Pelodiscus sinensis: one gene and its partner. The protein of the gene in region 1 purifies or fractionates together with the protein of each later gene. This does not show direct contact. Links are inferred from orthologs where the notes say so. Each region holds a gene or a part of one and is shown on either strand. Other genes may lie near its edges.

What was found. The genes of interacting proteins can lie anywhere in the genome.
Region 2: the proteins of USP25 (region 1) and BTBD9 purify together in Homo sapiens (affinity purification with mass spectrometry; 3 studies listed by BioGRID and IntAct, counting the BioPlex papers as one, with this or other methods). This does not show direct contact. The link is inferred for Pelodiscus sinensis from reciprocal best matches to the Homo sapiens genes USP25 and BTBD9.

Annotation. Positions count from the first base shown.
Region 1 is NC_134711.1:172,436,724-172,440,474, forward strand, and holds the start of USP25 (ubiquitin carboxyl-terminal hydrolase 25), read left to right. Parts: upstream 1-988; 5' UTR 989-1,212; coding exon 1,213-1,260; intron 1,261-3,751. UniProt on the Homo sapiens protein: Deubiquitinating enzyme that hydrolyzes ubiquitin moieties conjugated to substrates and thus, functions in various biological processes including inflammation and immune response.
Region 2 is NC_134713.1:142,227,089-142,230,839, forward strand, and holds the start of BTBD9 (BTB/POZ domain-containing protein 9), read right to left. Parts: upstream 2,339-3,751; 5' UTR 1,356-2,338; coding exon 1,250-1,355; intron 1-1,249.

The sequences.
Region 1 (3,751 bases):
TGAGTTCCTGAAACCCTCGCTTTATGAGGTTTAAAGGTAGTTGGAGAAAGAGTGCTCGTTCTCAGACTTACTGCTGTGTAGACAGCATCAAAAGCTGAAATAAGCTATTTCAACTTAAGCTACGCAATTGACATAGCTCAAGCTGCCTAGCTTATTTCCGATTTAGCTATGATGTGTAGACGTACCCTGACACTAGTGACTGGATAGCGAAGGGAGAGAGCAGAAGTCCTGCTGCTTCTCTTGGACAGAGTAAGTAGGTGGAGGAATTGGAAAGGAATGGGCTAGGGATGTAATTAGGGATTGTGACTAGGGTTGCCAGGTGTCGTTTTGAACCAGACAGTCTAGTATTTAAGCTTTCTGTTTGGGAAACATTGAGGAAATATAAATAAGAAAATATAAATGTCCAGTATTTTCTAAATAAGATGTAATGTAGATTGTGATGTAATGTCAAGTGTGTCTGGTATTTTTGTTGAAACCATCTGGCAACCCTAATTGTGACAGATGAGGTACCGCTGCCAGGGCCCGAGGAGGAGGAATGTAAGAACACTAGTGATTAGAGGAGGAGAGGCATTCGCTTGGGGAGGGTGGACAGTATATTGTGCTTGTACAGTGTCCAGGAGAATGAGGTCCTGATTCCTGGCACCCTGACAGTAGAATAAGACCTATTAACACTAGCGGTTAGATGGGAACAGCTTCTGAGGATCAAGAGAAGGAGGGACCCGAGTGGGAGGGAGCCCAGCAACCCTTGCCCATAGTTGAGCAAGTTGCTGCTGTGGTAACTGGTGAAGAAGGAGGAGAGGAGTGTGGAAGGAGGAAGGGCAGTAGTAGTGGAGAGTTGGGGTGGAGGGAAGACGGTGCCGCTGCTTACTGGCTGAGGAGAGGGGCGGGGGGGATGAGGGCGGTGGCGGCCGGGGGAGGCAGAGGAGGGCGGAGCAGGGCCCTGGCGCGGGGTGGGAGCCGAGCAGGCCGGGGGCTGGCTGCGGTGCTGGGCGGGCCGGGCTGGCAGCCGAGGGCGGAGCTGGCGGCACATTCCAGGGCCCGGGCCGGGCTGGGCGGTAGCTGCAGCAGCCGGGCCTGAGCGGCTCTTTCCCTCCCCGCGCTCCCCGCGCCCTCCCCGGCTCCGGGCCCGGCCCCTGCCTCTCCGCTGCCCGCGCCGCCTGCAGCCGCTGCCCCGCGCCGGGGGGAGGCGGGCAGCGGCGCCGGGCCGGGGCCATGACCGTGGAGCAGAACGTGCTGCAGCAGCAGAGCAAAGCCCAGAAGGTAGGAGCGCGCCGCCCGGGGGAAGCCTCCTGCGGCCGCCCGGCTACGCGAGGGCCCGGCGGGGCGGGGGATCCGCGCGGCCCCTTGGCGCTGTGACCTTAGCGGGGGAGCGGGCTGGCGGCCGGGGGGCGGACCCGCGGTGCTGGCTGGGCCCTGTGGGCTGGGGCCCGTGGCGGTGTCTTGCACGATGTCTCTCTTCCATTAGGCTCTGTAACCTGCCCCGCCCCATTAATTTTTCTCCCTCACCAGGACAGACGTGGGGTGTAGCCACTCACCCAGCGCCCATTGAAAACAATTCGCCCCTCCCGTTTCCACAGCCCCTTTGCTCTGTGTCCTCCCGTGCACCCCCTCCCCCCAGGCAATCAACGTTTCCCCCCTGCCCTCTTCAGTCCTTCCCTGGGAAGATTTTTAGAATAGATCCTCTTCCCCCCGCCCCCATTCCAGGCCTTTACAGTTCTGGAGCGTTTTCCTCTTGCATGTTGATTGAACATGAAAGTTACGAGCAAAAAACGGTTTAATTAGCTACTATTGTGAAATCAACACATTGCAGTGAGTGGCTCAGTGCTCCTGTTATAGTAATTGAGGTACATTGGTCCTGCCTGAGGAGAAGTGGAGTGGGGACTGTGGCACAATAACTTTTGAATTCCCCTATGTAGATGTAGTGAGAATGTACAGATTCCATCAGGATGTGCTCAGATGAAGAGAGGTCCTTAAATATCCTGTAATACATATGTAAAAGAATAGGCGCTTGTGCTGCACCTGTAGTAAAATCACCTCCCACTATCATTGTTCAGCATGCTCTGGAGTGCAAGGTCATGTTGCTTGCCTTCATCTGAAAGGTGACTGTGTTTAAGTGGTTGTACAGGTATGCAGGGTCCAGTCTTGAAACTAGCTCATGAGTGGTCCTGTTGAGCTCATGGGATTCTTAGTTAAGAGAAAAAAAATCACATGACTAAGGATTATAGACTAAGGCCCATATTTTATACCACGTGCCTTCATTCTCTTTAGAGAATTATGTACTGTGTGGTAACATAAGGGACTAAAGGTATTTCTTACATGTAAAATGCAAATACACTAGTGATAGCAATAGATATTTAAAAAGTGGAAGCTATTGTGAGCATGTAACAGTGGAGTAATGATTGTAAAATATATTTGGATGTCTTATTACATTTGTAGTTGTATATGTAATGACTTTGTCAGTTACAACTAGAAAAATGTATTTGGGGCTCATGGTGATGTGAAACCTTTGAACTCTGTCACTGCTGAAAATTGGTACTGTCTGGTATTTTTCATTGGCTAACATGAAATGAGTCCATTGTTGACACAACAGACCTTACAGTTACACAGCTGTACCATTGCAGCTACAGTGTTTTAAGGTCTCCTGTGTCTCTACACTGACAGGAGAGAGCTCTCGACATAATAACACTACGCCCAACAAGTGGCAACAATGTTGGCGGGAGAGCATCTTCCACCAGTGTAGTGCAGACCACACTGGTGCTTCTGTCGGTGAAACTTGTGTCCATCAGGGTTGTAGGTTTTTTCACATCCCCCGACCAGCAAAAGCTTCACTGAAAAAAAATGCTATTGTAGATGTTAAGTGCCTTTGCTATTAAGCCCGATCTACCTTTTTTTCCCCCCATTGTCACTGTAACTTTTATCTGTTGGGGTAAAGCTGTACTTAACCAAAATTGTCATACCAGTAAAACTCTGATATGCATGTGTTTGAGTATAAAAGTGTGTACTGGTATTATTTACCTTCCTATATGGACAATGTCTGGGAACCTGGGGGTGGAGGTGGAGAAGGTGATGGCAAAGGGGGCAACTGCTCCGTGGCATGGTACTCCTGGCCACCATTGTTACCACTATTGTGATGGCTGGAGCCCTGGATCCTTTAACTTGCTGCCAGACCCCCATACACAGTACTCTGGGCAGTGCTCAGTGCTGTCTGGGGTAGGTGCAGTGCACTCTGGGCTAGAGATGTAATAGTATAGTGGATTAACCGATAAGCAAAAGCTTGTTGGTTAATGCTATAGACTACACACATTCTCCCCCCCCCCCCCCTTCCCTCACCTGGCCAGTAAATTTTTTTAGCAGGTTGGCCAGCAGCCTGGCTCAGTCCTGGCGCACATTGGGTTAGAGACCTTCCCCACTGCTGCTCTGCATTTAAAGTGTATTAGGAACTGGGTGGGCAGGTAGCCCGGCTCAGTTCTGGCTTGCACTGGGTCCGGAAGCTAAGACTCTCTCCCTGCCCCCCCACACCACGGCACAGGAGCTGCTGTCACCCTGTGCTGCTGCTGTGCTGCTGCCTCTATAACAGAGGCAGCAATGCGGGGTGACAGGCAGGCAGTCCGTGAGGAGAGCTGGTTTTTAAATTGGCTCTCTTCATGGATCAGGTCCTGCCTAGCATCCCACGCTGCCACCTCTCATACAGAGGCAACAGCGTAAAGTGACAGGGGTCTCTTCGGGAGTGAGGCCAAAGCACACTGGCTCG
Region 2 (3,751 bases), on another chromosome or scaffold:
GAGGGTTGGCGAATGTAGCAAGCAGGGGGCACAGCCCCCTAGTAATGCATAATTGAAGTAATTGTAATGTAACTACAATAATACAAAGTTGAGGTGCTATTGCTGACAAACACAAAGTAATGCATATTGGAAAATCTAATCTAACTATACATACAAAATGATGGGGTTTATATTCATTGTTACTACTCAAGAAAGATCTCAGAGTCATTGTAGCTAGAGCTCTGAAAGTATCGACTCAATGTTTAATGGTACTCACAAAAAGCTAATAATGTTAGAGCCATTAGGAAAGAGATAGATAATAAGACAAGCAATATCATAATGCCAGTATGTAAATCCATGACGCACCCACACCTTAAATACTGTGTGCAATTCTTTTTGCCCTAATAAAAATATATATATATATTATAATTGGTAATAGTACAGAGAAGGGCAAATAAAAATTATTAGAGATATAGAACAGCTTTCATATGAAAAGAGATTTAAAAGCCTGGGATTTTTCAGCTTGAAAAAGAAACAAGTAAAGGGGGATATAAAATGAATCAGTATTATTTACTCCTTCACATAATATAAGAATGAAAGGTCACACAATTACATTAATCATTTGGTTTTAAACAAACAAAAAGAAGTATTTCTTCACTCAACACAGTCAATCTGTGGAACTCGTTGCCAGGAGATGTTGTGAATAGGATATTAAAAACTGTGTAATAGGGTAACTCTATCACTGCTGAAAATCACAGCAGTTACAGAGTTACCTGCTGAAAACTCAGCAGTTACACGGTTACCTGAAATGCTAAGCCTTATATTGCAGAGCCCACATAGGAGCCTTCCTGGGAGAAATGGCCACCAGTCCCTATCAGCCCGGATCCTGGAGAGGAGGCTGTGTGTAACAGACACCATTAACCAATAAGCATCTGCTTATTGGTTAAACAGTTAGTCATTTACATTCTTACATCCCTTGTTGTGAATACTAAAATTATAAAAGCGTTCACAAAATAATTAGATATGTTTCAGGAGGAGAAGTTCATCAATGGCTATTAGCCATGATGAGCAGGGATATAACAATGTGCTCACATGACTGACTCTTTATGGATGCTTTGATGTTATTCCCCTGAAAAATGCTCAATTGAGCAAAACTCAAATTTCTGAAACCAAGGATATACACTTGGAACCTTAACTCTTGCTTCTTGAAGCAATGCCTCTGTAGCTCTTGTTAACACTCATACCTTTGTTCCTCCTGTGTCATACTTACTGAAATGCACAAGCTCTTCACCTTGTCTTACAACCAATTCACTCTTACCCACAGAATTCCATCCAACACTTTTAAAAAACAAAAAGGAAGGTGGGGGGTTGTCCATGTCACCTTCTAACTTGTCCCCTGGAAATGAGAGTAGGCAATGCGAGTTATTCACATATACTGTAAGTACAATCACTTGTCAGGCATTAGGTGCAAGTGAAGGCAGTAGTTGGGCCTTTTTGATAAAGCTGCGTTGTAATATGAGGACATTCGTAGATTATCCTGGGTATGGAACAGTTGTGATTATGATGTGAGGAGATCTGTTTTGCACCTTTCAGTGTTTGTGAGCAAAAAGAAGAGATGCTCGTGCCCCTTTAGAATCCATTATGCATCAGTTCAATGGCAAATTACATAGGTTATGTCAGTAGCAAGGCCTAGGGATTTTATTACCAGGATTATTGTCAACAGTGAGGTGGAATATGAGAGGATTTTAATGTTATAATGATGTCTTAATGAAAGCACAGGTTGAGAAGATGTCCTGTGATTAAGTGTAGGGATGTTGCAAAAAGCTGTGAAGACATTCTTAAATTGTACACACGTGATATTCTTAAATTCTATATGCATGATATTCTTTCTAGGGAGCTGATTAAGAATCTGTGTGAGATCTGGATCTGGAAGCTCCTCAATTTTAAGCCATGTCCACGCTACACAACTATATTGGTATAACTACGCAATTTGGGATGTAAAAAATCTACATCCCTGAGCAATGTAGTTATACCGACCTAATCCCTTATGTAAATGGTGCTGTCATAGCTATGTAACCACTATGTCTCCCATCAATGTAACTATAGCCTATCAGGGAGGGGGATTAACTAGACTGCTTCATCTACATAGCTGTAGTGCTGTATGTGAAGACAAGCCTTTCTAGTGCCAAAGGCTAGCATTACTTGTGTCTATGTGCATACTGACTGACACACTGCTTGAAGAGCGTAGAGGGAAGGTGGCATGGGCAGCCTCCCTTTCCCACTCCCTTTTTATCCTTTTGCAGTGTTAGATGGAACCCTATTGGTAAGAGTGAATGGGATGAAAATTAGTTGAAATATACATGCTCTTCACCAGCTTAAATACCGTCCACAATTTGGACCACCAAACACTAGATGCCATTCATTACAAAGAGTAAAAATTTACTGAGACCATTTTGACCCACATCACAGCAACAGTTTGACCTCCAGTTCTGCACATAAAAATCCTACAATCATAGAATTTTAAAAGTAGCTTTTTTCAGGGATTATACCTCCAGAATCCTTGGCTCAAAAGACCTCCAATTTGGGACACTGATCCTATTCCAGATTCCCACAAGGAACAGCAATGTAAGAATATAAGAGCAGCCATACGGGGTCAGACCAAAGGTCCATCTAGCCCAGTATCCTGTTTTCCAACAGCAGCCAATGCTAGATGCCCCAGAGGGAGTGAACAGAACAAGTAATCATCAAGTGATCCTTCCCCTGTCACCCATTTCCAGCCTGCGATAAACCCATCCTGGCTAATAAGTATTGATGGACCTATCCTCCATGAATTTTAAGAAAACATATGAAAAGGTGGCTCTTAAAGCACTTAGAAGTGTTGTCATTCAAACAAGACAGAGAGGGATGATGGAGAGAAAGCGCTCCTTTATACATCCCTCTGCAGCAGAGAAGGCTCTGAAAGGTGTGAATGAGACCAGTCCATAAAGATAAACAGGGCTCGACAAATAATGTAATCTACTCGCCCGTGGCGAGTAGATTACAACCCGGAAGAGCCGGCACAAAGCGATCTGCGCACCGCGCGGCTGGCGAGCCTTGGAGATAAACACAACCTGAACCAATAACTCAGACACAAAACCACCCACTTATCTCAGTGGTTGTCCATTCTCAGCTCCCAACACAAAAGACAACGATTTCCCCACATCCTGACTTACATGCAGGGGTAGGAAGGAGATCAGACTCTCCCAAAATTTCAGTTGCCCCCCCCCACCCTATGTGGCAGGGTATAAGGATGTTAAATATCAGTTAACTGAATAGTTGAGTAACCTCACAAATTCTTATCAGTTAGTTGACTATTCTATAGTCCCCAAAGTCGGAGCTGGAAGCCAGTGTGCTCCAGCCCCACTCTCGACGAGTCCTCTGCCACTCCATGCTGCTGCCTCTATATCAGAGGCAGCAGCACGGGGTGCCAGGCGGGAGCTGGTCCACAAGAGGAGCCAGTTTAAAAACCAGCTCCCCTCATGGGACCCAACATGAACTGGAACTGAGCCAGGCTGCTGGCCAGCCTGCTAAAAAATTTACTGGTGGCGGGGGAAGGGGGAGGAGAAAGACTGAAGGAAATGCATGTAGTTTATAGTATTAACCTATAAGCTTTTGCTTATTGCTTAATTGACTACACCAGAGTCCGCAGCCCGCTTATTTGCCGCACTCAGTGCAGTTTGGGTTTACGTGGGGTTCAACATACAGCCCATGGGTAGGTAGGAGCCAAAATAAA